Linked DNA regions of Rhinolophus ferrumequinum. The protein of the gene in region 3 interacts with the protein of the main gene of each other region in a pairwise test. Links are inferred from orthologs where the notes say so. Each region holds a gene or a part of one and is shown on either strand. Other genes may lie near its edges. The genes, in order: ZBTB16, LATS1, LDOC1 and AP1M1.

Region 1 (7,073 bases), on a different chromosome or scaffold from region 3:
GGCGTGTCCCACAAGCTCCCAGGAGTGGGCAAGTCCTATGACTAGGAGCAGCAACTGATGCTGGACATGGCTTGGAGGTGCTAGAAGCAATATTGGCACCAGCCTCTATGGTATGAGTTACAACCAGTATGAAGGGAAGACAGGGCTGCGAAACAAAGGCCGCTCCCAGGGCGCAGTTCAGGATCAGTAACAGGGCCTGGGACTCTGAACTGTTTAAAGAGTGTTAAAAAGACTTCACAGGCCACGTCCTTCCCAGCCTCTGCCTTGCTGTGACCAGTATTTCAGTAAAATGACCTAGGAGCAAAGCAAAGCAGGGGTTCTCCTTCACTCTTCCAAAACAACTTGCCTAAGCCCCCAGAAGGAGCCTTATGGGTTCCAGAGCCACAAATCTCATGCAGAAAGGGTTAACAGGACTGCTAATCAAGACACTTTTGCTGCCCAGCCTGGAGTGGGGACTAAGGCCATCAAGGATGGGATGGCCATTCATCCCTGCTTAACCACTATGCGCTTTCCCGCAGACTTCAGGGTTTCAGAAAACTAGGAGGGAGCAATCGAAAGAATGGAAGCTGGGCTACCCGAATTCCTTCCCACAAGAAAGCTCCTTGGGTCCTGAGGGAAATCAGGGTGCCCTCGGTCAGCCGTCCCCCCCGACTCGCCTCTCAGCGCCCGCGATCTCAGGCCGGCGCTGACTGCAGCGCCCAGCCCTGCGCCGCGGTGAAAAGCCGGCGCTAACCCGCTCGAGCTCCGGGGATCGATCGCGCTCTCACACACCCCTAGTTCCCAGCCACCCCCACAAAGAGTTGGAAACGTGTTCGGCAAACTTGGGGAAGCAACTTTTCCCGGGGAACCAGACAGCAGAAGGAACGGGAGCCGGGCTAGGGAAGAGGAAAAGCGAAAGAGACCCGGACGAAAAGCAAGAGTCCGGGCGGGCTGGATGCCGGGGCAAGAGCGGCTAGGAGGCGGACCCACCCCGCAGCGAAGGGAAAGCACAAAAGCCGGACCGAGAGTTGTGGGAGCAAAGGAGAGAGTTGTGGGAGGAAAGGCAAGAAGGGATCCGCCAGCCTTCCCTGTCCGACCCAGGGCCGTGATCCCCGGGAGCGACGGGCAGGGTCACAGGCCGCGCGGGGCTGGAGCCTCCAGCAGCCGCCTTGCCCGGCCCAGGCACGGTGCGCGCGTCCCGTGGAGCGGACGAGTGAGTCGTTGCACAGTGCGTCTGTGCGTTCCAGCGGGTCGGCGGGCCAGCGAAACCGTGCGCATTTTGAGCGCTTGCGGGAGTGTTCCAGGGGCTGCGCGTGCGAGCCGCCGGTGCGCCGGGGTGGGAAAGGCATCCCGAACGCATCAGGTGCAAAGCTGGGACACCCACCGAGTACGGCCGGAAGCGCACAGCGAGCTCCGGCGCCACGGCCGGTCCCGCCGAGAGCCGAGGAGGGCCCGGAGCCCTGAAGACCCTCCGGAGCTCCGCCACGGCCGCCCTCCCCCCTAAACAGGGGGAATCAAGTCCAACCAAGGAAAAAAGGGCTCACCACGTTTTTACGAAGAAAAACAACACCCAAGTGAGTCCCACTCCTGCTCTCCTCCGCCCCCAGATCCACTCCACGGATCCCGATTCTGGCTTCCCAGCCGGCCGGCGAATAAACACACAAACCACAACCCTATCTCGCGACCGCGCACCGGTCCGCATACATATGAGCACCCACCCGCTCCCGGCTCCTCCGCCGGCCCCCGGCGGTACAAAGCCTCCCGATCCCCAACCCTCCGCTCGCGCCCTCAGCCCCCACACACCGCTCTGCCCCTACCTCTCACCCCGACCGTGCCCGGGTGCGGAAGGGTTGGGGTAGCAGCTGTGCCCAAGCTGACAGCCAGGGCTCCCCCTTCTAGTCGACCCCCAACCGGCGGTGGCGACGGCTGCAGCAGCAGGAAGGGAACAAGCCGAATAAAATCAGGCACAAGCTCAGCGGCCGAGTGGCTGAAGCGAGGGCGCCCCCAGACCTCTTCAGCCTCAGGGGCGCCCTGGCGCGCGTCTCTCGCTGGGCGGTGCGCCCCTCCCTAGCCCCTCACTCACCGCTGCCAAGCCGGGCGCTGTGGGGTGGGTGTGCGTGCCTCTTGGGGGGTGTGTGCCAGTGTCGGGGAAGGGTGTTGCTGGGGAACTGTTGCTCTCGGTATCACGGCGGCAGCGGCGGCATCGCCCGGCAGTTCGCAGTACCCGCTCTCATCGCCCTCAACTCCTCTCTGCTGCGAGGTTAGCAAATCACCACCGGCTTCGGCGCCTCCGCCGCGTCTCACGTCAACGCCGAGCCCCCTCCCCTACGAGGCCCCGGCGCCTCTCCATCTTTAGTGCTGGCGGCCGAGCCGGGCTCCTTGCCCACAGCTGCCCCCCTTCGCTCCCCCCTCCCGTGCCGTCCCCGAGCTCAGCCCGCCCACCCTTCCCCCCCCGCACTGGCCAAGCCGGCGCGCGCTCCCCGCCCCACCCCTCCCCTCCCTTCGCTCCCTCCCTCTCTCTCCCCTCCCCTCCCTTACCCGCGCGCGGCGCTCCGGGCTTCGCCTGACATCTAGCTGCTGCTGGGGCGCTGGCGGCCGCCGCTCACCCGCCTAGCGGAGAGGAAAGGAGATCGTGGAGAGGAAAGCCAGGGACTCGGAAGCCTAGTGGGGGCAGTGGAGGTGAGGTGCGGGGATCAGCCTCCACCTTCAACCCCGAGGTTTTTAATTTCCACTGGACACGGGTTTTGTTTCCCCCAGCTTCTCCAGGCGCGGAGTTTTGTCCCTGACTTCACTGTTTGTCCCAATTCAGTGTGTGTCCTCTCGCCTTTCACTTTTGCTCCGGGCTGGGGACTGCATCCCCTGTACTTCGACGTCGGTTTTAGAAGGTTGCTTTCCCAGCCCCAGCCCAGGCCTTCTGTGCCTCCCGGCTGCGGTGTGCCTCCGGGCGATGAGCAGCCGGATTGCGAGAAGTCTCCAGACGCAGATTTCGCTGACCGTGGTGAACCAAGTGCCAGAGGGTCCGCGGGGATCTGACGTTGGAGGTGGACGTCCCATTTCAGCTATCAGACCCCTGGGGGTTGAGGTCGAGGCCTGAGAGAAACTCTTCTCCCTCTCAGACTTGAGCATGCCCTCTTCTTTGCCCCCCCCCCCCCCCCCCCCCCGCCAAGGAACCCGGTTGGAAAGAGTTCCCAAGGACTGCGTCCTGCTCAGCGCAGGCTTCAGGGGACGGTGAAAGCTTGAAGGCCCCCCAAAGTGTTTCCTCTTCTCAACTGGTCGCTCCACTTTAGAGGGTAGACTTATCACTAACCCGGAGGTAGAGCAACCAAAAGAAATCTGCCCTTCCTCAGGCGGTCGAGAGTCCCCTTAGAGAGTCCCCTTCTCCCCCTGCCTTCTCCCTGAGCCTGGCGAAGGTAGGGGGCAAGAGGTGGCAAGCGCTTTTCTGCGTGCAGGCAGGCCGTGGTGCCCGACTAACGCTAAGGAGAGTGGGGTGGAGAGCTCCATCCCTGGGTCTCAGGACAGTCAGCCCCAGAGGTCATGCAGTCTTAGCAACGCGGCGCTTCAATCACGGAGTCTTGAGTCTCCACATTCTGCCGCTGACAAGCGGGTCGGTCAAAGTTTTTCCACAAGACTTCCGTATAATCACATCCCCATGTGTGCCTCGGTGCCTCCGCACTGCCCAGACGGACAGTCAGGCCCCAAGAACTGTAGGGTTATGGAAGGTGGCAGAAGCCAAGTAGAGACAAAAAATCCTCTTCGGGGTGCAAAACACTAGGAGGCAGAGTTTACAAATCATAACTGTTCTGGGTTCACAAGAGCTGCTAATGGGGTAGTCTCAAAGACAGGCAATTCCATCCCAGCAAGTGTCGCTCTTGTCTCCTACTCCCAGGGAAAGTGCTGGGGAGAGGACAGCAGAGGGCAGAGAAGCGCACTCCCAGGTGAAGGAAGAACGTTATCCTCTAATAGAGTACACAGCAACACCTGCCCAGGCATGGGAAAGCCCAAGCCCTGGGGATGCCTTGTGCTTAACAATAAAGAGGAATCCCCATTATAGACGATTTTTCTAGCTAGGGTCTTCGTGGTCTGTAAGATGAAAGGGATTTCAAGAAAGTGAAGAAAACTGGTCTGGAAAGAGATGAAGAAGGGAAGGATGCCAGAAGAGGAGAAAAGACACCCCCCCCCCCCATGCCTCACCAAGGCAATAGAAGAATCATTAAACTTGTTGCACTTCTGTCCAGGCGGTACCTGCTGAAGGTTGCTGCCTTGCAGTCCATATCCACTACCAGTCCCTCCCCAGCGCAGTAGCTGAAGCACAAATTAGCCCTTGATCCTAATCTTCTATTAATCCTTAAGTTAGAAAAAGGGAATCTTTGGAAACAATGGGAGAGAAAGAACAGTTCCTCAATGGCCCTGGACTCCCCCACCTTCCATGCCATACTCTATGTGAAAATCTCCCTTGCTTCATAAACTCTGCCTATTAAAAAGCCCAGCCCTTGTTAGTAAGTGTTAAAGAGAGATTAATGTCTGAATTTAAGAGGTGGAGAAGGTAACAAAAGGAGGAAGGCAGGCGAGGCTGTGGGCTGAGTGCCAGCATTGGGTTCCAAGCATTTCCACTTAGCGCTGAAGGCTGGCTGCAAGGCAGTTTGATAAGGTTTATTGGGTCCAGATAAAGCGGCAGCAGCTCTACCACCAAAACTGGCACCATTTATAGCCACAGCTATGTCCTTGGGTCCCTGGAACGCTGATGAGAATCCCCAGTTCAGAGATTTCATATGGCATCACCTAAAAACAAGCAGGATGGAAAATTACAAGAGAAAACTCTCTTTCTCTCTCTCTGTCTCTGTCTCTCTCATGTTCGTATATTTGTAATTTCTTTTTACTTTTTTCTTGAAAGGGGTGGTAAGGGAAGCGGGGACATCAGTTCTGACCAGTCCCTAAAAATAGAAGAGACCTCAGCCTGAGGGAGGTCATGCTGGAGACAAGGGAAGAGATGAGTTGACCTGTGGATGGAATTCCATTGCTAAATCTTCTTATTCCCTCATCACTTTTATTCATACACCTCCCACTGGTAGCAGCCTTTCAGAGCTCAGTTTGTGGAAGAGGATGGTTTATCAGGACTAAGATATCTTACAGGAAGGGGACAGTGGGAATAATACCTCATTCTGAATACTGACTATGAATCTTAACACATTACCTATGTTGTTTTATTTAGTCCTTGTAACAATCCTATTGATACAGGTACTATTATTTTCCCCATTTCTGCAGATGAGAAAAAAGGCTCAGAGACATTAAGTATCTTATCCAAGTTTGCAGAACTATTAAACATCAGAGCTGAGACTTTAAATCAGACCATTCCAACTACAAAGCTCCTGATCTTAACCTGCAAATTATACAGCCTCTAGCAAGATAGAAAAGGGAAACAAAGGATTTTAATTTTACTTTTCATCTTACTCCACTTATTACTCATCTTCTGTGCAGCAGCCACCAAGCTGAAGCCCAAACAGTTATCCACTGAATCAAACCACCAGGTAAATAGACTTAGAGCCCCCAGAATCTCTGCACTTTCCTTCCTTCCTCAAAATCTCAGGCAAAAGTGGAGGAGGGAGTTTTGAATTACAGTAAAACTTCAACTAAACAGATGCCCAGGAAGAAGGTTATAGTGTTGTTTTGACTACTCTGATTGTTAATGGAATGTTGCAACTCATTTTGTTCCAACTCCTTATTTGAAAAATAGTTTTAAATTGTAAAGGTAAACTTTCCTATCATGATAGATAAGTCAAGGACTCCTACCTTTAGGAGAAGAAGCTACTTTGCATTTCCCCAAAATCTTGTGATGAATGGGGAATTAAGTGTTTTCAGGGAGAGGTGCAGGCAGTGAAGCCCCTGAAAGGAAAAAGTAGTCTCCACTGCAATTGACAACTCCAGGTTGCTACTGGAGGCTGCACCAGGCTGTCACTCTCAGATCTTTACCCCACTGGAGACCCCTGGGGGAAGATAATAGCAAACATGTTGTGCCCTTTTCTAGTGGCAAAGGATCTTACAATGCTTCAAGGTCATTATTGCAGATATCTACTAGCTAGATGCAGATGATGTCAAAAATTAGGCAGAGTCGAATTTGCCCTCAGTGTATATATTGATAGTTTTCTTTGGTTTGCCTTTTTTTTTTTTTTTTTTTTTACATTTAATTCTATCACGTCCCTTCTTTAGATGCCTGCTCCAAAAAACAGAGGGGGGAAATAATCAAGTGATATGTGGATTCTGGTTACTTGAACCTGAGAAAACCAAATAAGAGGATGGCTTTTTTGACTACTAATTGCTACCTCTCCACCCCCATCCCCGTGGAGTCCTGGTTAGTGGCATTTACACACTTGGGCTTCTCTTCCAGGTTCTGTGTATGCCCTTCCTCTCATCTGTAGGGCAGAAAGTGACTTTTCAAAGGGAGAAGAAGAGAGGTTATTTATTTTAGCCGCTGAGGTCTTCAGTCACTAGGACCCCAAAATCTTCATGATTGAAGAAGAGAAAGCTTTTTCTACTCTCTTCCCCCAGCATATTGCAAATGGTGTTGGGACCGAATGTTGTCAACTCAAATAGCAAATCTGAGTTGTTATTAGTGCAAAGATGCCCTGAGGGGGTAGGCAGTGTGGATGAAATCTGCAACGGATGTTATGGGAAAGCGTGTTTATAATTATAATGGGATTTAATGTACACTGGGACCAGATGATGGCAGCCATTTAAAAAGAGATGCTTAATAAGAGAGGTCCCTTAATGACAGGCAGCAGGGCTCAGGTTATTATGGAAGAAGCACAGTGTTTCACTGGGTGTCACAAACCATGTGCCAGGTTTTATGGGATTCCTCACAAAGCTTTGGGGTGAGACATAGCAACCATTGCTGTCAGCTGTTGGGCATCATGTCTTAATGTGTTGTCTTTGAAAGAGCATCTACGCATAAGAGAAAGGCATTTTTCCCTTTTGGATACACATAAGCACAAACATACAGGCCCAGCGCCAACATTGAATAGTTTGGGGTGATTCTGGAAATCTGCTTTGTTCTGAGAAAGAGGGCCTCCATTTCAAAACTAAAATTTTGCAGCTGTCAA
Region 2 (8,076 bases), on a different chromosome or scaffold from region 3:
TAATCGTGTGTTAATAAAATGATGTGAACCTACTATGAGACAGCCAATTTACCTAATTTGCATTATGTTGGGGTACTTTACCGTAAGGTTTCACTAAATAAATGAATTTTCATATGCTAAACTGAAATATGCTTCCATTTGTCTTTTTTCCTCAGAAGCCACAAAAAACATTCACATATTCCAAACTATATATCGTAGACTCTTTGGGGTAAAACTTTTTAATCCGTCTTTTTAATGGTTTCTTGTGAGCAACATTTCCTTCCCAGCCTTTCTTGCCCCTTCTTGGCTAAATCTTGCTTACCCTTCTGGACTCCTGTTTTCTCAAGAAAGCCTTCGTTGGCCTCAGACAATCTGGGCTGTATTGTACCGATTGCCCACTTCAAAAGCCCACTGTGTAGAGCTCTATTGTGCTTCTAGCAGTGTGTTAAACAGCCTGCCTCCCTCTACTGGACCACAAGCTCAAGAACAGGGCCCATGTCTTAGTGTTATAGTAACTATTTAATGCAGTATCTGATCCAAGTAAGCACTAACTCAGTGCAAACTGAACTGAACTCAATCTTGTTTTCCCTTTAAAAAAATACTGCCATTTGCCAAAGTCCATCTTTAAAGTATGACTTCCAAAATGAACAATTTTCCAGGTGGTGTCTGACTTGCTGAGAGTATGACAGAAATCTTACCATCCTGATTCTGGGCACCATATCTTCTGTAAAACTGTCTTAGCTGATTTTAACAATTCTGATACTTGTTCAGTTAGACTGCTGAACTAGTTGGACTTAAACCCGTAAATTATCAGACATGATACTCCTAAGCCATACTTCCCATATTCTTGAGTTAATGCACATGGTTTTGATCCTTTACTATAGGTCCATCTTTCCTGCTCCAAGAAGACAAATTTTATTTTTGTATAGAAAATAATTAGCCATCTCTTTTCAATCTTTTCTGTAAGAGCTAATTATTTTCAAAATTGCTCATCACGCTTTCTGCATTCTCATCCCACTGGTTAGGAGATAGGTTAAATGGACTAAAGTGCTTATGCCTACTCTTAAGAGTCCTCTCAATTACCAGTGATACATGAATCATTGGTATTTGGCTACAGTCACTGAAATATTTATAAACCAACCTAATTTATTGACATTCTGCCCCATTTATCTTGTTCACAAGGCTTACTGTGAGAAAACATCTATGCTGTAGCTATCATCCTATCAAAAAAATTGGCCTAATTTAAAAATTCCTTGTCCTTTGTGAAAATACCATAGTATTATGGAAATAACCTTTTAATAATCCATTCTAGATTCTTGTCCAAGAAGCATACTGAGTTCACCAGTGTACGGTGTTTATCAAGACTTCATTTAAGCTTACAGTATCAATGTCATATGTAGCTCAGACTAATTCGATGAAGCAGTAGCAGTGCTCTTGTTTTCCAGATGTGAAACCCAGGGAGATCTAAACTATGACACGCAACTATTTGAACTATTTCATTGACGTCATTCTTAACTACGATTAATTAAATGGCGGTGTAGAAGAACTAACAGCTACATCTGTGACTAGTCATCCTAGCATCAAAACAATTCCCAACAACGTTTCACTATACTAGAGGTGTACATGGAAGAAAAAAATGAAGGGATGGGCATGGTGAGAAGAGAGAAGTCGAATGACTAAAATCTAGCTGATCACTTAAATGTTTTTAATTAATGAAAAATAAACTAATGTTCAGTTCCAAACTGTCATGAGTGGACTTTGGGGGAAAGTAGCTGACAGACCAGCCTAACAAAGCCATCAGAAATGCATTCACTGTCAAAACAATTTTTGTGCAGGCCATGGCTATATGAAGTTAAACTGTAATACTAGAATATAAGAGACAAGATGGCATAAGTAGGTCAACACCGTGCCTGCTTCCTTCTGTGAACACATTAAAATTACAACTAAATTATAGAACACTCAACCTGCAGAACAATCTGAAGTCTGGCTGAACAGAAGTTTTATAACTAAGGATATAAAGAAGCCCGTGGAAACTGGTAGGAGGGGTGGAGATGTGGAACAGGCCCCACACCTGTATGTAGTGGTTGGGAATCAAAAGGGATATCACAGCTGTGAAGGTTCCCCCTGGAGAAGCAAGAGACCACAGCCCCACGCCGCCCTCCACAGCCCGAGTACTGTTGCCGGGAGGAGGAGCCTCCACAACATCTGGCTGTAGAAAACAATGGGGATTCCGACCATCTGGGTGGGATGTAAGTCTTCAGGAAACCCAGATTTCCTCTTAAATGGCCCTCACACAGACTCACTCACTCATAGGCACTTACCTTGGGCTCCAGAGGAGGGACAATGACTTGGGGGGCATCAGAGCCATACGGGGGGCAGAATGAGGTGTGTGGCCTCAGGGCAAGGGTTGAAGGACAGTCATTTTCCCTGTGAGGAGGCCTCCCGTGCCGCCAGAAGGCGGGTGCCATCTTTCCTGTATTGAGCCTGCCCCCTACAATTACAGCCAAATCTGAATCTGATTGGTCTCGTGAGCTCAGATGTAAAGTACAGCATAGGGAATATAGTCGATAATATGATAATAACTATGTATAGTGCCAGGTGGGTACTAGTCAGGAGGATCACTTCTTAAATTATATGAATGTCTAATCAATACGCTATACACCTGAGTTAATATAATATTGAAGGTGAACTGTAATTGGAAAATTTAAAAGGGGGAACGGTGAAAGGGTATAAGAGGTCCAAATTTCCAGTTATAAAACAAATAAGTCATGGAGATGTAATGTACAGCATAGGGAATATAGTTAATAATATTGTGATAGCGTGGTATGATGTCAGATGGGCTTATAATAGTGATCACTTCTTTAGGTATATAAATGTTGAATAACTATTGTGTACACCTGAAACTCTTATAATATTGTATGTTAGCTGTATTTTTAATACAAATCTTTTAAAAACACTAGTCTGTAAAATAATAGCTGCAACAAATCACAACAGTTTTTACCCCTGGATAGTATGGAATGAACTTAAATTTAAAATCTCTGCCATTCAGGTCCTATAAGCAATGATACACTAGTAACAATGAGCACACCTAGAAACCAGATTTGGTTTCTAATGCCCTTCTCCAGTAAAAGGAACCAGGGCTCCTTAAAGGGGTAGGATATACACAAGATAGCCTGAAGCATCTTGTAGTGCCAGAAAATAAGGAAGTTCTAAAAAAAATAAAAAGCCCACAATAATGGGAATATATCAAAGGGACACAGAAGCCAACCGGAAGAGCTCCCAATAACCAAGGTGGAACAATTTGATCAACAAAATAAATAAAATATCCAAAGTATAAATATCCATGAGTCCACATTGATATAAACGCTTGAATGAATGGGGGCGGAGACAAATCTCAGAATTCCAAATAATTTATGTAGATTCTCTGCCATCAAAGAGGCAGCAGAATACAGCACTCTTCTCCTTCGGTGTGGGCTGCTCATAGTCTAGAGCCTTCCCCTAAGATTGTATGAATTCTTGGGAGGGCTAATGCTGTCAGGGCTACCAATAGTCTCCAGACTTCTTCCGTGTGTGCTGCTCCTCCATTCCTCCATTCATCCGAGCATGAAATTTGGTCCCTACATAATGTTGGTAAAAATACAATGAAACCAAGAAATGCCACTTCCATGAAGCACTGAGGAGCTGAGAAAGCTGAAGCTGGATCAACGGTTTTCCATCACAGCAATACAAAGACCTTCAAATACAATGGCAGATATTGCCATTCTCAGATATCCAGCACCCCTAGTAAGCATTTCCCTGGTCTTTCACCTCCACCTCCACCTCCACCCCCACCTGCAGTCTCAGACCCTTTTCAAATCTTGTAGGTTAGTTCTCTCCTGATCACTCCTCTCCCTTCCCGGCCCTTTTGTCCCCCTACTTCACAGAAGTAAATCTCCTAGTCTTAGAAAGCACAATTCACAGAGCTCCTTGAATTATCTAGGAATTTTCCCGTACATGGTGGCCTGTGGAGCTACTCACCTTTATGCTTAGAGAGAATTGAGAAACTTCAGTGAGGAAGTTCAATGGGTTGGTGATAGAGATGATGACCCTCTGGAGGTAGGATGCTATTCCAGATACATAATCCTGGAAAGGGCAATCAGGACTGTGAATTTATTAGATTCAGATCATTTATATAATTTTGAGGCTGAAAGGGACCCTCGAGGTTACTTAGTTCTCCCATTGAAGCAAGTTATACCTAGGACTTTTAAGTGACCTTGGTTCATATTCTCTATTTCCTACAAACTCTGCTTGTGGAACAGAGTTTCAATCAAGTGCTCTTAGAATGTAATCTTTTTTTATTATTATTAATAGTTTCAGGTGTACAAAACAGTGTAATAGTTAGACATTTATACCCCACAAAGTGATAACCCCCTTCCCTAATCTACTACCCCTCTGACATCGTATATAGCTGTTACAGTTCCACTGACTCTATTCCTTATGCTGTACTCCACATCCTGTGACTATATATACATATATGTATTAAATTATAGTTGAGATTCATTATTATTCAGCTTCAGGTGTACACTGCAGTGGTCAGGCACCTCCACTGTCCATGAAGTGGTCTCCTTAATAAGACAAGTGTCCATCGGATACCCTATAAAATCTTTATGATATTATTAATTATATTCCCCAAACTGTCTTTCATATCCCTGTGGCCACCTTGTGGTTAATGACTGTGCTTTCTAATCCCCTCACCTTCTCCCTCATCCCCACCCCCTACCAGCTAGCAACCCTGTTTTTCCTCTATATCTCTGACACTGTTTCTGTTTGTTTTGTTCATTTATCTATTCTTTAGATTCCACATATAAGTGAGATCATATGGTATTTGTCTGTCTTCGTGTGGCTTATTTCACTTAACATAATGTTCTCTAGGTCCATCCATATCATTGCAAATGGTAATATTTAGAATGTAATCTTTTTAATAGAGGTTTTCATATTTGAACTTCTGGATACAGTAGCCAGTAACTAATTTAACATCAGAAAAAGAAGTCATTAAGTAAAAAAAAAATTAATAGACTCTAGTAGGAAAATAATGAACGGGGGTATTTGGAAATACCAACTGCATACATTTTCAAGAGGCAGAATTGGCCAAGGTGCTCTTTACAAACATCATAAACCCAATGATTCCATCCTAAATTTCCAATTCAATTTAACAAAAAACAAAACCTCTATTTCAGTCACCGTTATTACAGTTATCGCAATAGTGACTTTCTCTTCTACCGATTTGGTTGACAGATAAAAATCTTTAAACTCTGTTACTCTTTCTTGGTTCAAAATTATCTGGCTGACTCAGAAAATACTTAAAGTCACGGATTTACTGGGGGAAAGCGTGCTAAGCAAAAATCAATTTATTTCAAAGCTGCCAGAAATCCTGAACCTTTACGTCCACAGCGAAGTTTCAGAGAGCAAATCATTGCTGTTTCCTTCTGAGAATTAAGCTTCTTTGAGAGGCGCATCTTTATTCCATATCTGTCCATTGAAAGAGCTCACTTGAAAAAAAGACTGAAGTACATGCGTGGGCTTCAGCGGGCGAGAGCTTGGTCCCACGAACCGGGGCGAGTCACCTGGGCAGCGTGAGGCGGGGGCGACGCGGGGAGACGCTGGCGAACTCGCAGAGAGGGCAGCGGGTGGAGGGCAAGAGACCGCAGGCGGCGCTCTCCAGGCGGCCGGGCGGGCAGAAGCCCCCAGTCCTCGGGCCCCCGCGCAAGCGACGCCGGGAAATGCCCACATCCGGGAAACCTGCAGCGGAGTGCGGCGGCAGCGACACCGAGTGGAAGGCAAAATGGCGGCGGCGGCGGCGGCCTAGTGCTAAGGGGAGAGCCAGGTCCCCGCGACCCTCGCGACGGGCTGCGCTGGCCTGTGGCAGCCCCCCGGCCTCTCTCCCCGCCCTGCCCCACCGAGGATACTTGGGGTCCCTGGGAGGGACTCCGGCCGCCTTGGCGCCCGCCCTCCGGCCCGTGGCCGCTGTCCAGGAATCCCGCACTCCGTTGCTGGTAGGTCCGGGGCTAGCGTAACGGGTGGGGCGCATCTCTCCTTCGGAGGCCGAGTTGGCGGGGCGGTGGCCGCCGGGGCCCACGCCCATCCCGGCTGGCTGGGCTCCAGGGGCTGCTGCGACTGGCGGGCCGGCTCGGCCCGGTGCGGGCCTGAGTTGGCTGATTGCATGGACCTGAGAGGAGCCCTGCCCTGGGGAAGCGAGGGTTGGCCGTGCCGGGGGCTGGAGGAATAACCCCAGGCTTTGCGGCCTTGGAGGTGCAGGTTAAGCTGGAAAGAGCCTGCCTTGCTGAAGGCTTTGTGGCGACTGTCTGCCACCTCCATCCCCGTCCGCAGCACGCAGGGATCAACGGTGTTTAGGAAGGAAGGAAAGCGAAAGGTGGTTCTGAAGGAGAATTGCAGTGAAAGAGCTACAGTTCTTTGCAACCAGAGGGACCCGGTCGGTCCTGAATATACCTTGAAGAAATCCTAGGAATTTCTATGTACAGTCCACTGTAATGTTAGGTTACTGTTCATAGTTGGAAGGGGTGGGAGAGAGGGAGGGCTCTTTATGGAGTAGGAAGGAGTGTGTATATAAATACAGAAAATGAAGAAAGGAAAATTAAGGGAACATTATTTATTACAGCTTCAAGAAGAATTTGTATCTTAAAAAATGCCTCTCAGGTGACTTGATTTAACCCCATTCTCTGACTTTTTTAATTGAAAGTTATTTTTTAAAGGAACAAAATTTAATAGTTTGTCAACCCATATGTTAATATGACTTAAAATATATGTCATCACGTAGAAGTTATTCATAAACCTAGTAAGAAATATAGTCGCACACACAAATAATACTGTGCCACTCCAGTTTGGGAAGTGGATTTGAATGTCTGGAATCAGGAAGCTTGTCAGGGCTTTGTGGATTATTTATTGAAGATTTAAAATTTTTTATCAAATTTCCTCCATGAGGAAGAAAAGGTAAGAATATAATTGTTCGTTGTAATTACAATGAGTGTTCTCTGCTAAGATATCTACATTGTGATTTAACTAAGGTTATTTCTTTCCTTTAGTAAGTTGACAGACAGGTAAAATGGGCTAGTTGATTCCCTAAGGCAGTGGAGGAATTTGACTGATTTAACAGTAAAAGAAGTAGCATTGTGTTCCTCTGATCAGCTGCTACTGCAAGAAACTAGATCATGGTACATGCTGGAAAGGTGCAGTCTTTCTATGGCTAAATAGTTATTGAACATGCCATGCCACTCCCTAAAAGCAAATAAAAAATTTCTGCTACATTTTTTTGGGTATGATATCATCTGGATTTACTTCTGTAGTTTGAGTTTTTATTTTTTGGTTTTTGTTTTTAATGCTATTCCTTGATGTTTTATATAAATATGTATAGCCTTGGAACAGTTCCAATTCTGGTTATTTGGTTTTCACTTTAGATGTTAGGTTTAGATTAGTGGGGGATTTTTGTAGACCACAAAAGTTATTTAGTCATTGAGCAACATTTTTGTCACATAGACATGACAGTCATTTTTCAGCATGTAGATAAAATAACACTGATTGTCTTCACTTTTGATGAGTTAATTCTTAGAAAGCGAATTGAAGGATATATCATCATACAGAGATTCTTGATTATTGCTGTCTAAACAACTAAGACTGCTGCTAAGAAAGAAACAGTACATGTTACTGTTGCTATTCTCATAACTGATTTAGTCAGAGCGTTGAGACAGGCCATCTTTTTTATAAACCTAATTCAACCCAAGATAACACTCTGAAATGTGTTTTCCTAGGTTGGACAAGATATCAACAGTATTTCTTTGGATTTACTGACATTTGTTGTCATTTGATGAAAGTCTGAACTTTCAAAGAAATGTAGGTTTTGTCTGTTTAGTCTAACCAATTTCATTGTTCGTTCAAAGAATGAGTGAGTCCTGATCCCTGCTCTTAGGAAACTCATTTGAGTATATAGGTGTGCTGAAAGAGCCCTGAGCTGGTTCAGGATGTGTGGAATCCTTTCCTAACATGACTTCCAGCTGGCTACATGACCTTAGACAGGCCACTTTGCCTTTCTAGATCCATTTCCTC
Region 3 (6,743 bases):
AGGAGATAGCCAGGCATCTTGCCAATTTCTTAGGCAGGAATCTGGGGCACATGAATGGGTGAGGATTCTAAGGGTGTCTGCCCAAGGAGAATAAAATGTTAAGATCAGGCTCTATTTAGCAAGGTGCACTTACTCAGGATCCAGAATGTAATGTTAGCTCAAGCACCTGAAAGGGGCATGATAATACTGTGCTCCATTGTTAATTAAAGCCTGAATTCCACAGCACCCCACAGGCAGTAAGGATTAAGGGGCCGAATTTCCCTGGCAGGGTTGAGGAAAGAATCCAAAGGCTCAGGAAGATAGGAACATTGTATGTGTCCAGATTCATGCCTGGTGTCCCAGCCTAATTATTAATAGTGCCCCCTTTCACTCCCAAGTGTCCCAGTTAGAGATGGTGTGCTACCCGCTTGGCCACCCTTACCCCATGCCACCCTGGAGGCCCCAGAGGACACTCCCTTCACCAGGGCTTTAAGAAATGCCTTAGTAGGGGGAGCACCAGAATCCCTATAAAGCCCTATGGTAGCTGTCCTCTGTAGCCTAGAGATGACAGTGGGGAATTCTGGGATTGAACTAAGTTACCTGATCTCAGTGGGAATACTGGGAGGCCGAGTGAAAGTGGTAGGGGCCAGTGATAGCACTTAACCATTAAAAGACACTCCTTTTGTTTTTTTCGTAGTGCTTGATATTTATTGAAAAGAACGCAAGTGCTTTTTCCAGGTAGTATTGAGAAGCTTGGCTGAGTGCCTGTTTTTCTTTTGAGACTGCTGCAATTTTTAAAGAAAATGACAGCTGTGCAAAAGTAGTGCATAGGAGAAAAGAAATGTCAACAATTTGGCTGCCAGGCACACTAGGCCCCTGCAGCAATCTGGTGGTGTAGGGGAGGACTCTGGAAATAGGTAGGGAACTAACCAGGTCGAAAGACTGGCCCCTTCGGGGGTTGTGAGCTGTCCAAATAAATGTCCAAGGAGCTGTAGCCAACTCAGGCATCCTGTAGGTTGGTCCTTATCTCCAAAGGCGGTGGTCAGTCGCAAGAACGTGGTGGATGGTGGTGTCGTGGCAGCGTAGTTCTCTGGGCAGATGTTGGCCTGGCAGTTGGCAGGGCAGTGCATAATCTGACCAGTTGGTAACAGGGACCTGCCTTAGCGCTGGGGCTCAGGACACAGTCCACATTTGCAGGGGTGCTTCCCAGGGCTGGCCAGAGTGGGTGGCAGCGCGCTTCAGAGCAAACCCCCAGCCCCAGCACGTAATTGGAGCACAATTTCTGGAACAAAGACAAGCACTCCGGGGGATGAGGGAGAGGACCAGAGGTTGGGGGAGGGAAGAAGATCGGAGGATTAGGGGGAGTACGGTGGCTCCGGGAGGGGCAGGAAGGAGGGGAGGGAGGTGGCGGCGTGCAGAGCCCTTCCCCCTTAGGCCCGAGGGTCTCCAGGCCTAGTAATCATCTTCTTCTTCGTCATCATCGTCGTCTTCTTCGTCGTCATCCCAGCCAAAACACTGTTTCATCTCCTCGAGGAAGGCCCTGTAATCACTTAGGAGGGGGCTATCCATCTCAATGTAGGGCACCACCCACTCCTCGGCTTCCCCGGTGAGCAGGCTGATTAGGAACGCCACCTTCATAGCGTCGTTGCAGAACCGGTTCTCGTTGACAAGCATGTAAGACGCCGTCTGCACGATAAACTCGGGGAGCCGGGAGCTCTCGCCGTTAAACGTTTCGGGGAAGGGCACCGGGCAGCTCGGCGGACGTACCTGGCGCAGCAGGGTGGCCCTCTCGCACACCAGCAGCCGCAGCTGTTCCATGAGCTGGCTGTTCTCGATGCTCAGGGCGCGGTGCCGCACCAGGAGCGCGTGCAGCAGCAGCACCAGCTCGTCCACCATGGCGAACCGCTTGGAAAGGCACGGCTGGGCTCGGCTGGGTTCGGCTCGCCTAAGGTGCGCAGGGAGGCCTCGCAGGAAGTGCGTGTCCGCGGAGGCGCGGGTGGCCAGGGGTGGAGAGCCGTGCACGCAGGGGTCCCGGCGGCTGCGCAAGACCCGCCCACAAAGCCGCGGGCGCGGCCCCCGCGCCAGCGCGGCCCAGGGAGGAGGGGGGGCGTGTCCAGAGAAGACACTGGCGCTGCGTGGGGGCGGGGTCAGAGGGGGTGGGCAGGGCCGCGGCGACGTGACCACGGAGGGCGTGGCCAGGGGAGGGGCGGGCAGGTTCCCGGGGCCCAGGGCTGGTAGGTCTGACGGCGGGCGGATAAAGGCAGGGTATGTGGGACAGGCATTAGCCAGGACACAGCGAGCCCTAAGACCCGTCTCTCACAGAGGGCCAACCTGCTCAAGTTTAAAGGGTTAACCACCCTTCATCCCAGCTGAGTCACCCAATTCAATGTTCCTTACTGGGCCTGTGGCCATTAGATTCCATTTGTATGATGTTTATTAACACATTTTCTTGCTTATTTAAACTTCATCCATCCAGACAGCTATTAGCACTGCTGGCCGCAACGCGGGAGTCACACATTCTTTCCGAGTAATGAAAGACCCTCAGGAGTCCTGTCTTTCAGACAAAATATTATTTAAACAGGGATTGTTCTTTAGTTGGGAAATAATATTGTGTATCTGTCGTTTTTCATTATTATTTTTCTAAATAGCGAAGTATAAAAAGTTCTGCAAAATTATCCGACAAACATATGCAGGCATCCTGCTATCTTTGACTATTTCACTTCATAATATTAGTGTCCCTTGGCCACTGGGTATTATTCTTTGCTTAACAATGAAGACTTGTGTTTTTAAATGGTTTTGTTTTTCTACTTTGAATGTGATTACTCCAATAGTTGTTGACAACTGAGTTGTGTCCAAGACCTTAGAGCCAACTTTGTCTGTGGGCTCTGCTTTTAAAAGAGATCCCCAATTCAATCACTTCGTGTCACTTCTACCGCTACCACCCTGATCCCAGCCTTCCTTTCTCACCTGGATTGCTGCAACTAATCTCTTAGCTTTCACTCTTCTCTTCCTCCAGTGTATGTATTCTCCACAGTGTAGGTACAGGAATTCTTTAGAACAAAAGTTTTCCCTGTGCAAAACCCTCCAACGGTTTTTTCTTCTCACTCAAAAGAAGAAGCAAAATCTGGGTCATAGCAGTCAAGGCCCTGCATCACCCTCTGTGCCTTTTCCCATTCCCTGCTCTGTTCTAATCATATTGTCCCCCTTACTGATTTTCATACGCATCAAGTAGCTCTGGCCTCAGGATCTTTGCACTTCCTATCATTTCTGCCTTGCAAAGGCTCTCCCCTGTTAGCTGCCTGACTCCACCTCCTAATGTTTTTGGAGAGGACTCTCCTGACCACCTCATCTAGCACCCTGCTCTCTACCAGTAATCTCTAACCCCTCACCATGCTTCATTTCTTTACATGGCATTTATCAGACTAGCGATACCGTGCTAAGGACCGGCTGCCTGCCGCTTGAAAAAGTTAAACATGGAGAGACAAGGTTGGTGAAAAGAAAAGCAGGTTTATTCAGAATGCCAGCATTCTGGGATGATGGCGGACTCCTGTCCAAAGTCCATCTCCTCGCTCCTAGACCGGTCAGAAGGTTTTATAGGAACACGAGAAGAACAAAGGAAAGGCCGGGTGGGTCAATCAGGTCCCAGGACTGTCCTCAGTTCATGGGGTCTGGTCTGTTTTAAGATAATGTTATCTCCGGACTTGGCCACCATGGCCTGGGGCTTTATGTGTCACCAGTAAAAACTGCAAGGGAGTTGCAAAACGGATTCCAGTGTCCAGGCGCCTGAGGATTAAGAAATCGCTCTTTTCAGGTTAGGATTCTGTTGAGTAAATGGATTAATGAGGTATGGGTAGCCTTGAGAAAGGGAACAAAACAGAGTTTTTAAGTCAGTCAGTGAGCGGAGAAACAGAGAAAACAGCTGAATGTCAGGATGGACCTAACTGCAAACTAGCTAAGTGTAACTACATTATTGATTCACTGAATTTCACCCTTTCATTAGCAGCCATCATGTCATATATTACTTTGTTCGTCAGTCTGCCTCCACTTTAGAATGTAAGTCTATGTGGACAATTTGCTTTGTTAGCTGCTGTATTCCTAATGCCTGGAAAAATGCTTGGCCCAGAGTAGAAGCTCCATAAATGTGTGGTGAATGAAAGAATCCCAGGGTGCAGATAATGTTGAAATAAGATTTAGAAGGGGTGGCTGCATAGTGTCCAAAAATACTCTTCAAACTGTCTGGTATGTTCTATCTATGATCAAGAATCAGTCTCCATTGTGAAATGATGACTGACATAATAAAAATGGCTAAGTAATTTTTTGAAAAACCCTCTTCAGTCCTTTCACAATCAAATTTAATTGAATGGGCATTCATGGAAATAAGAGGCTGAGAGAAAGGAGAGAAACAGGGCCAAGGTCCAATAAGGAGAGGAGGAAGGATCAGGCTGCTGATTCGGTGGGCGGGGAAAAGAGCAGGTGGGAAGGAATATGAGCCCTTGGGCTCGCCTGTCATATGAGTTCCTCCACTATATGAGAAGCCCCTGGAGGCCAAGCAGGGACCCTCTCTCACTCATCCTTTGACCTTCAGCATCTGAAAGTGTTTATTGGGTGCTCCATAAATGTTCAGTGGATGAAATACAGGCACAGGAAATGTCAGTGGTAGGTTTCTGGCCATGCTGTCCATTCACAGCTCAGGGTGGAAGGTGGACCTGCTTTGGGCAGCAGTGAGTATCCAGCTCCACTTTCCATGTCCAGACCCTACTACAGGAAAAGATGCCCAGAGTTCTACTCTCAGGAACACACTTCCTGTTGTCCACACGGTTCTAGCGATTGACTTGGGCTGCCTCTTTGATCCCGCAGCGTTATTCACAATAGACATATATGGAAACAATCAAAGTGTCCACCAACAAATGAATGGATAAAGATATACATATATATGTATATACATATAAAATGTTTGCAGAATCCTAATATACATAGTTTTGCTAACACATATATGTGTCAAACCTTACATGTCAGGAGACACAGAGATACCGTGTTTCCCCAAAAATAAGACCTAGCCGGACAATCAGTTCTAATGCGTCCTTTGGAGCAAAAATTAATATAAGACCGGGTCTTAATATAACATAAGACCGGGTCTAATATAATATTATAATATTCTGTTCAGTTTCTCAGATGAAGTAGGAGACGGATGGTGCCAAATATACTCACAGTCCCAGAGATATGGAACTGGGAAATCAGATTTCTATAACTGAATGATGATTTTCATGAACTAATGTCTTATTATTAATTTGTATTCATGTATATGTTTTTATATTACTATAAAATAGAATTTATTGCCTATAGTATATTATACTACTATTATACAAATTGTTGTTCTCATTCCTAGTTATTTCAATATAATTCGTCACTTTGAACATACAAGAGCTTATGCACTTGGTTTGTTTCTGGTATTTTCATATGTTTTAGAAAGTATCTGGCATCATGTTAAATCTGTTGTTAGAGATATTAAGAGCGGCCTGTCATAATTTGTGTTTACTTGTTTGGTTTTAAATGTAGACTAGGCCTGTCTTTCAAATGGGCCATTTACTTTGATCTACATTAAAGTTTTTAGGAGGCAGAATGAGTGTGGAGAATTGAAGATAACCACAGATTCTTTGCCACTTAGTCCATTAAGAGGTAGAAACAATGTTCCCTGCCTGTTTAATCTGGGCTGGCTCTGTGACTTGATTTGACAAATAAAGGATGATGGAAGTAACTTATAACTTATGAAGCAAGGCCTTAAAGATCTGAAGAGTCTGTGTTTGCCACTTGGAATATTCCCTACTCAGAGCCAGCCACCAGATAAGAAGTCTAATTGCCCCGAGACCGCCATGCTGTGAAGAAGCTCAAGTTAGCCACATGGATAAAGAGAGGTCATGTGGAGGAAGAGCGAAGCAGCAAACAAACATGAGAATGAAGGGCCTCCTTGGACTTTCCAGGCCAGCAGAATCACTGCCTGAATGAAGCTGACTAAATGACTCCAGCTGACTACATAGAGAGGCAAAAAAACATCTGGCTAAGCCCTACACGAATTCCAAATCAACAGAATCATGAGCAAATAAAATGGCACAAAATTTTGGGATCATTTGTTTCATGACAGTAGAGAACTGAAACATGAAGACACTCATGATATGCTACAGATAAAAGCATAGTCCCACATCGAAAGATCTGATATGATGTGATGAATCCATGGTCCTGTTCTGTTTCTTAGCCTCTGTATTTGTCTATTTGGTGTCTATTAATTACAGGGCCAAATTAATGGCCAAAGTGGTTTAAATCTCCCCTGTGATCCACAGCCCTTAGTCTGAAAACATGTTCTTTATCTAATTCTCACATATCCAGTCAATACTTCCCCTGCCCTAAATCAACCCAGGGCCAAGTACCAGACAACTAGGGTCAGCCACTCTGCCCCAGAGTTCCTGGAATGATTTAAACTAGCTAATCTTAAACTGTTTCCCCAGTCTTGCCTATTCTTTCCTGTGGAAACTCCAATATTGGCTCTGGCGTATGTCTTCCCCCTACTCCTTTCTATCTCCTGACTAAAATCTGATGCTTCCCTCTGTGGCCCTGCATGATATGGCACGCCCTCTCTCCTCAGGAAATATAACAAAAAAGCTTCCTTCAGAGGCACTGGCTGCTCCATATTGTCATTCAATCACCTCCATGAATTAACATCCTGAGGGTACAATTGAGTTATAGTCCAAGTACTTCTGTCCTGCGAGGAA
Region 4 (7,734 bases), on a different chromosome or scaffold from region 3:
GTCCCAACATCCAGAACAGAGCCTGGCCCATGGTAGCTGCTCAGGAAATGTCTGTGCAGTGAACATGGATACAAAGATGATAAAAAGGCCGGCCCGGTGGCTCAGGCGGTTGGTGCTCAGTTCAATTACCACATGGGCCAGTGGGCTCTCAACCACAAGGTTGCCAGTTCAACTCCCGCAAGGGATGGTGGGCTGTGCCCCCTGCAACTAACAACGGCAACTGGACCTGGAGCTAAGCTGCGCCCTCCACAACTAAGACTGAAAGGACAACAACTTGACTTGGAAAAAATCCTGGAAGTACACACTGTTCCCCAATAAAGTCCTGTTCCCCTTCCCCAATAAAATCTTTAAAAAAAAAAAAAAGTGATGAAAAGGAGGCCAGGCTAATGGCCAGGTCTCTAATGCAGGCAGTCCCATAGATGGCAGTGTCACTCACTGAAATGGAGAGCGAGCAGCTTTGGGGGGGGTGGCGGGAGTTCATTTTGGGAAATGCCAAGTTTGCAGTGGTTGTGGGACCTCCACTGTGTCCCAGAGGCCAGTGGGTCTCCAGATAAGTGCTCTGGACTGTGGTACAAATTTGAGTCACTGGCACACTGACATGAATCAAAGCCAGTCTGAGGAAAAGACAGTACAGGAGCTATACGTAGGCCCCAGCCTGATAGGCCAACATCTCCAGGGGAGAAGGGACCTGCAACCGCTGAGAGAAACAGGAGGCAAACAGAGTGCAGCCACCTGGAGCCAGCGGAAGCCCTGACAGTGGGAGTGGTGTCAGAAGCTGCAGAGAAGCAAGGAAAGTAAGGGGAGAGCTTTCTATCAGCTAAGTGTGGCCACACTGGATTCCCTGGTGATCAGAGGCTCTGGTTGGCAGATAGACACATGGTCATGTATTTCTTCATGTGCCATGACCTTATTTTGGATTAAATGAAGTCTGCGCTAGAGGCAAACTTCCAAAACACGAGCTCCGTGGGGAATGGGGAGTGGAATAATAAATGACGTGACGGTTGCTGAAAATGGGAAGGAAGCCCGTGGCTGCTCGGGAGCGTCCCTCAAGGCCGACTGGCCATGCTTCTCCTGGGCTATAATCTTCTTTTGGTGGCTCCTCCTTCCTGGGATCAAAATGGCCCCTTATGGACCTCACTCCTGTCTGGACATCTTCAACGGCCAGTCCTCCTGGCACCACCCTCCAGGCTCGTGTTACCCAGGACTTTCAGCTGCTCCTTGCCCCTTGGGCCCATTGCAACTCCTACCTGTCCACCTGACTGCCACCTGATCACCTTTCCAGCTTTTCCAGGAAGCATTTTGTAACCACCTCTCCAACCAAAACTGAGGTTAGGTAATTATATAACCTGGGGCTTTGTTCATGCCCATGTGACTAATTGGATCTGACCATCTGGATCCATGTACCCCCCTGCCAGACCTCCAGGCCCAGGGGAACTTGCAAGGACAGTGGGCTCAGAGGGGTGAAGGCACTTGCCCAAGGTCACATCACTGAGCAGCAGAGATGAGTTTTGACCTCAGCCCTAACTCCATAGTAACAGTGAGATAGTCAGCACAGGGCTTGGTACATGCTGGGTGCTGCTGAAATGTTTGTTGAAGGAACAAGTGAGCTGTGACAGGAAGCCTGTGGGACCTCTTGGGACATGGTGGCCACAGTGGAAGCAAGAACATGTGCTACCAGGACTCAGGAAACACTGCACCCACCTTGCGCACCTTGTATCGTTCTTTGCCTCTAAGGCCATGGACGGAAGCCCAACACTGGGACTCACAGGCTGTTGACTCTGGGTGGCATCCAAGGCAGGCAACCTACTCAAGGGACTCTGGGAAAGTACTGGGGGTGGGGAGTCGGGCAGGAAGGGACAGCCACTTCCAACTTGACTCCCCCCTGCTTCTGAGCTAACTCCTGCCTGCCCCCCCTAAGCCCAACACCCAGTAAGTTCTCTCACTGATCGATGTGGGACTTAAGGTTTAATGTAGCTGGACCTGTTCTCATTGCTCCCAGTTGTAAGAGGCCAGACATTCACTTGCCTTCCATCCAGGAAAGGCAACAACCAATTTCTGAAAGGCTTCAAGAGCCCTAGTTATGCTCAACTCCTCCTTCATATCTCAGTCTGATTTATCACTCCCTCCAGGAAGCCCTCCCTGACCACCAGCTGAGGCTGACTCTCCCTATTGTATCTTCACTGCAAAATCATTGCAATTTACATTTATTTGTGCTTTTTAGATCAGTGTGCCTCTCCCTCGCCAGACTGGGAGCTCCAGAGGGACAGCACCTGACTCGGATTTTGCTCAAAATGGCCTAAGAGTTAGCACCCTGCCTGGCACCTAGGAGGTGCTCCTCAAATTAACAGCTGAATGAACAAATCATTCTGGGTTCGACTCCTAAACCTGCCACATCTCTGTGACGGGTACGACCTTAGGCGGGTTATGGAACCTCTTCATGCCTCAGTTTCTCTCTCCTGTAAAATGGCTCGCCCACCACCCACCTCACCTAACCTTTGTAAATTAATGTCACAACGAACGTTAAGAAATTCATACAGACCAGCACAGAGAAATAACCAGATAAACAGAAGCGGCTGTGCTCCCAGAGGGCACACTGGCCCCGACACGCCTTGCCACCTCCGTCCGGCCAAGGGTCGGGGAGCCGCTGCCTCCGGAAGGCCTGGCTTAGAAGCTGGATGCTGCTCGCCGTCTCCGCAGCCCCCAAGGAGGCCTGAGCTTCCGGCCCACAGGGGGAGCGGGGTCGTGCGGCCGGTTACCTAGCAACAAGGCAGGTCTCGTAGACCAGAGACCGCAGCCTGGCAACCCAGCAACAGGATGGGACCCTCAGGTGAGACCTATCGGTCTCTTTGCTTAGGACCAGGGTGGGTCCCATTGACCGGCTGCCTAGCAACAGGGTGGGTCCCCAAGGGCGAGGTCCCCGCCGGCAGCCTGGCAACGGGGAGGGTGGGGAGCCCTCCGTACCTTGCCCTTCAGGTCCAGCACGTAGACAGCACTGGCGGACATGGCGGCTGCGGGAAGCCTCGGCAATAGCCGAGGGCGGCGGCGACAGCGGGGACTGCCGGGCGTTGAGGAAGGCCAGGCACGCCCCGCGACGGTTCGACTCCACTTCCGGTCCGGGGAGCCGCGCGCGGACCGTTATGTCCGGTCGAGGGAGGAGCTACTAGGAATGCGCAGGCGCAGGGCGGAATGTGCGCAGGCGTAGTACGCCCTATGTGACGTTATTTTCCGCTCGGAAAGCATCCCGGAAGTAAGACGCATAGCGTCGGGGTTGTTGCAGCTCACTGATACAGGGCACCCTCTAACTACCCAGCTGGGCGACGAAGCCTTGAAAGCTGGAAACCCTCTCGTGTGAACCAAGTTAGGTGAGAGGTCCCGGTGGTTGATCCTACATGGGGCCCAGGCCTGTGAAACTCCTATTCTGGTGGAGGAGTGTATGAAAAAAATTAATATGCAGTCACCAATTGTGATACGGTTTATGGGGAGGAGTAAGGTGGTGGTTCCTTGGAAAGAGGGCAAACAACTCTGAATAGCAATCAACCCTTATCAACAGGAGCTAAGTGAACAGCGTCACCTGTCACTGTCAACATTCGTGAGCAGGCGAGCCTGTTTATTGCCTGGAATGATCTGAAAACCACGGGTTTTATTTCTGTAATTAGTGCCCACTGGTGGTGAAGCAGGGCCCAGCTGGGCCCCCAGTACTCAGAATGCCTCCGGGATGCCCTGCCCCCCTCCTGGCTGGCTTCCCTCTGCGGCTTGAACTCAGAGTGCCTCCGAGAGACCCAGGGCCAACCGAGTTCAGGACTCCAGCTGCGTGCACGGCTCGCTCAACCACTAGACCGACACAGGAGTTGGGTCATGGAATAAGCATTTATTATCAGAGCCCTGGTGGTCTGAGAAGACAGCGGGTTAACACCTCCAAAAATTGCCTTAATATTCTCAGACCAGCTTGGGGTATTTAAGAGAAAATCTGGGCGTTCCTCTAGAGATTATGTGAAAGTTCTGGGGGTCTGCAGGAAGCCTTCCCTCTGGCAACATGATTCTCTGGTGGCGGACTCAGCAACGTAGGAAAAAAGATGGGAGTAGCCCGGTAGACCATTGAGAATGTTATCAATAAGCCTAAGGGTATTAATCCTAAATTTCAGGGTAATTTTCTAAAACAGGGAGGGAACTGGGTGGGACAGGGTACTTTCTGAGCTCAAGCTGCAGGGGGATGATCTATTTTTAAGCTATATATAGGTCAAGGAAAGGTGGGACGTTGCAAGGCCTCTATTACAGAGGTCCCAACCAGGCCCTGCTTCAGTTGTGGGTAATGCAAATTGTGAACCCTGATTAATCAATTGAATGGTATCTCATTTGCTTTCATGAACATTTGGGCTGTGGAGAAATGCCTACATTCTGTGCCAATGAGCCATCACAGTGCCTTGGGGATCTCAACCCTGCAATATCAGAACAATTTACTCTCTTTTGATCTTCCCTCCTATCTCTGTCTGGGGTTTTGAAAGGTGGCTTTTGCAATATGTCCTCTGCTTAGGATAGAGATGAAAGTGCAGGAAAATCCAGACAAGAACACTGGAATATTGGAGCACTGCTAACTAAATCGTGGGATGGAAGCATTCTAGCACAAAGCAGTCAAGATAGACATTTTGACAGTTTTCTTGTAAGAAACCCTATTGCACCTACCCTCATACTTTGCTCAATTTATGGCAATGTTAGAAAATCATGTCTGTTTTTAATTAAAAAGCCAAAACCTATAAGGCAAAAAGAAAAACCAGCCAGGAGAGGAGACGTCTCTCATTATGGAACATTTTCAAGCTTGCTCTGGGCGTTTAGATATTTAATACTAGGTATCACAGGGGCTGGGTGGACAAACGTCTTTTGAGGAATCAGACTCCTACATGCCAAGAGGACTGTCACAGTAAACACTTCACACATAAATTACTTGTAACGTCCTTTGCTCCTTATGTGGGGAAATTCAGAGCCACATCTGAATTTCACCCTTGGCATTTATATTTAATGTATAAGCCAGATTTAGCCTCTGCAACATCTCAGAAAAGACTTTACTGTGGTAGATCAGGGTTTCTCAAAGTTTGCTGTATATTAGGGTCACCTGGGGAGCTCTGAAAACTCTCAATGACTGAACCCCACTCCAGGCAGTGTCAGTGGTTTTTAATGCTCCCCAAGTCTAACATATCCGAATTTGAGAGCCACTGTGGTAGGCTGTAACAGTGATGGCTCCCAATAAACCATGTCTCCTGTTGTTCATGCCCTAGAGTAGTTCCCGCCCAGACTGAGTTTGATGTGACTTGGGTTGAGCAATGAAATAGCCTGTGTGGGGAGAGATTCTGGAGAATGAGATGCCATCTTGGACTTTCTGGCTCTGGGCAAGTCGACCCAGCTACACAAATGAACTAAACTCCACATGGAGCAGAAGAACCACTTGGCTGAGCACAACCAACCCACAGAATAGTGAAGAGAGAAATCCTATGGTTTTTAAACTACACCCGTTTTGGAGCGGTTTGTTAGGCAGGGAGAATTGGAATATTTATCTTCTACCATACTGACTTTCCACAGCACGTCATGCTCACAGACCCCGACTGCTGGCTCATGAACAGAAAAGATCTGAATATGACTTTCCACGAGGCAATGGGGGAGTCTGCCCAAAGGACCCACTGCTAATGAGAGTATGTCATGTCTTTTAGGTGGGTTTCGAACCACAGGTGGAAACATGTCATCCAATTTTCTCCAAATTGAGGGCAAACAGTGGTTTTGTAGTACGCATATTTTTCATGTGCAATAAATTCAAAGGCAGTGTTTCTAGTGATAAACAGCCTATAATTAAGACACTCAGACTTATATTTAATAACTGGTTTTTGTTTTATTCTGCAGTTCACATGTTAGAGCTGCAAAACCAATACTTCAGATTTTCTCTTCTGACTTTGTTATTCTTTTAGATCTATTATCAACAGAGACCATTTGTCCCAGGAGCATATGCAGTCTGATTCTCATGCAGTGGGGACATACAGTCCCTCACAGATCCTGGCTCTCCAGCACTGGAAGTTGGGTCCTCCCCTTTGAATGCACCCATGTCTGTCTGTGCTAAGGCTCTGCCCTGGTCCCGTCACCAAGAGGTGTCCTTAGGCCAGGAATGCCACATAGGTATTATGTATGTGCCAACTATGAATAAACGGGGCTACTTGGAGCCCAGGGTTGAGGGTAGTGAGGCAGGCAGTGTCCGGGTTCCATTACAAAGAATATGGTACTCGATTGGCAATGTCTGCCATGGCAACACCCACTGGACATGTCTGGAATGGGGATACTGGGGGAACAGGCTGCATGCCAGCCACCAGCTCAGCTCAGAAAGGGACAAGGCATTTGTTCCATCCTTGCCTTGGGTGGTTATTCTCCCTGGCCAGGTGGCTGAGGAAGCAATCTGAAGGCCACCAAGCTGCAAGTGGCTTCCCTGGGCCCTGGATGGAACAGCATAAGCCCCAAGCTAGAGGGAGCTCAAAAGGGCAACATATGCCGGGCCCCACATGCAGGGCTCCATGCGAGTCTGCACGTTGCAGCTCCTTCTCCTCTGAAGTCAGTTTCATCCAGGCAAAGATAGCTGGCTGGATGTCAAAATGAGTTAGATGCAACAGAAATAACCTTAATCTCTGGGTAAATTCTCAATAATTTCCAGTCCAAACTACAAAGTTTCATCTTCAATGTGCTCTTGAGAAACTAACATAGACCAAAAGGATAGTCTTACTTTAATCAAGTTCCAGAATGAGGGCACACTGCTTTGAAAAGCACTGTCTCAGCAGGAGACGCCATGGTGTGTATAAAAGAATGTTTCTAAAAAATACCAAAGGCACCAAATAGAACCCAACTTGACCTTGTTTCCCCAAGGTGTCACTCCATAGCCCAGGTGGGGAGGCTACTTCGTCCAGCTGACTTTGGGAATGTCATAGTGCTCTGTGAGCGTATCCAAGTGTCTGTTAAAGTCCTAGGGAAGCCGAAGAGAAAGCCCGCATCAGCACAGCACCACGCAGCGATATGGAGCACTACCACCCGCACTACTCCACACCCTGCCTCCCCTCGGTGAGCCCTCTCCTCTCAGAGCCACCCTGCCAGGCCTTATCGCAGTCAGAACGCTGGCATCTCTCTTCAAGGACCCCAAAGAGGTTGGGTAAACCCCCTCCTGGCTGACATTCCATCGGATCCTCTGCCTGGGCCCAGCTGGGACTTACATGGTTCAGCCTTCAGCACTGGGCACGTGACTTACCTCAACTCTTTGCTTGTGGGTTTTGGATGCTTTCTTCAGGATCCTTTCCATTTGCTGAAAAGAGGAGAGAAATGCAGGTGAGTCATGTGTTCAATACAGCCCAGACCAGCACAAGATGGAAGATGCGAGCCCTAGCCGGCCTGGTTCTCACACCTAAAACAGCTGGAGGTCTCAGTTCCCTCCGCTGCACTCAGGCTGGTCCGACAGACCAGACCTTTGGCTACAACACATTCCCCCAGAAACCCAGGTCAGCTGCCCTTTGGTCTGAGTGGCAGGAAATGTACTAGCACCGACTAGACTCTGCTGGGAGCTGTACAAGTGCTTCCTGCTTCCTTGGGCAATTGACAGAAATCTCATTTTGCAGGAAAAAAAAGTCCCAGATGGGGTTTGAGGAAGGATGAAAAATGAGGAAAGGACCTGGCACATAGTAGATGCTTGAGTGACACTGCCAGGAGGGCTGCAAGATC

What was found.
Region 1: the proteins of LDOC1 (region 3) and ZBTB16 interact in binary tests that used the Homo sapiens proteins (3 or more experiments, as listed by UniProt). The two-hybrid records come from large-scale screens. The link is inferred for Rhinolophus ferrumequinum from reciprocal best matches to the Homo sapiens genes LDOC1 and ZBTB16.
Region 2: the proteins of LDOC1 (region 3) and LATS1 interact in a two-hybrid assay, tested with the Homo sapiens proteins (2 studies listed by BioGRID and IntAct). The two-hybrid records come from large-scale screens. The link is inferred for Rhinolophus ferrumequinum from reciprocal best matches to the Homo sapiens genes LDOC1 and LATS1.
Region 4: the proteins of LDOC1 (region 3) and AP1M1 interact in binary tests that used the Homo sapiens proteins (3 or more experiments, as listed by UniProt). The two-hybrid records come from large-scale screens. The link is inferred for Rhinolophus ferrumequinum from reciprocal best matches to the Homo sapiens genes LDOC1 and AP1M1.

The regions. Positions count from the first base shown.
Region 1 is NC_046294.1:83,543,945-83,551,017, reverse strand, and holds the start of ZBTB16 (zinc finger and BTB domain-containing protein 16), read right to left. Parts: upstream 3,067-7,073; 5' UTR 2,518-3,066; intron 2,389-2,517; exon of another isoform or gene 2,063-2,388; intron 1,952-2,062; exon of another isoform or gene 1,797-1,951; intron 1-1,796. UniProt on the Homo sapiens protein: Acts as a transcriptional repressor. Transcriptional repression may be mediated through recruitment of histone deacetylases to target promoters. May play a role in myeloid maturation and in the development and/or maintenance of other differentiated tissues.
Region 2 is NC_046286.1:93,093,379-93,101,454, reverse strand, and holds the start of LATS1 (serine/threonine-protein kinase LATS1), read left to right. Parts: upstream 1-4,926; 5' UTR 4,927-6,011; intron 6,012-8,076. UniProt on the Homo sapiens protein: Negative regulator of YAP1 in the Hippo signaling pathway that plays a pivotal role in organ size control and tumor suppression by restricting proliferation and promoting apoptosis.
Region 3 is NC_046284.1:15,202,694-15,209,436, forward strand, and holds LDOC1 (protein LDOC1), read right to left. Parts: upstream 2,075-6,743; 5' UTR 1,876-2,074; coding exon 1,432-1,875; 3' UTR 642-1,431; downstream 1-641. UniProt on the Homo sapiens protein: May have an important role in the development and/or progression of some cancers.
Region 4 is NC_046301.1:49,788,711-49,796,444, reverse strand, and holds the start of AP1M1 (AP-1 complex subunit mu-1), read right to left. Parts: upstream 3,132-7,734; 5' UTR 3,004-3,131; coding exon 2,962-3,003; intron 1-2,961. Other genes in the region: protein FAM32A, read right to left, coding at 6,920-6,988, 7,268-7,321. UniProt on the Homo sapiens protein: Subunit of clathrin-associated adaptor protein complex 1 that plays a role in protein sorting in the trans-Golgi network (TGN) and endosomes.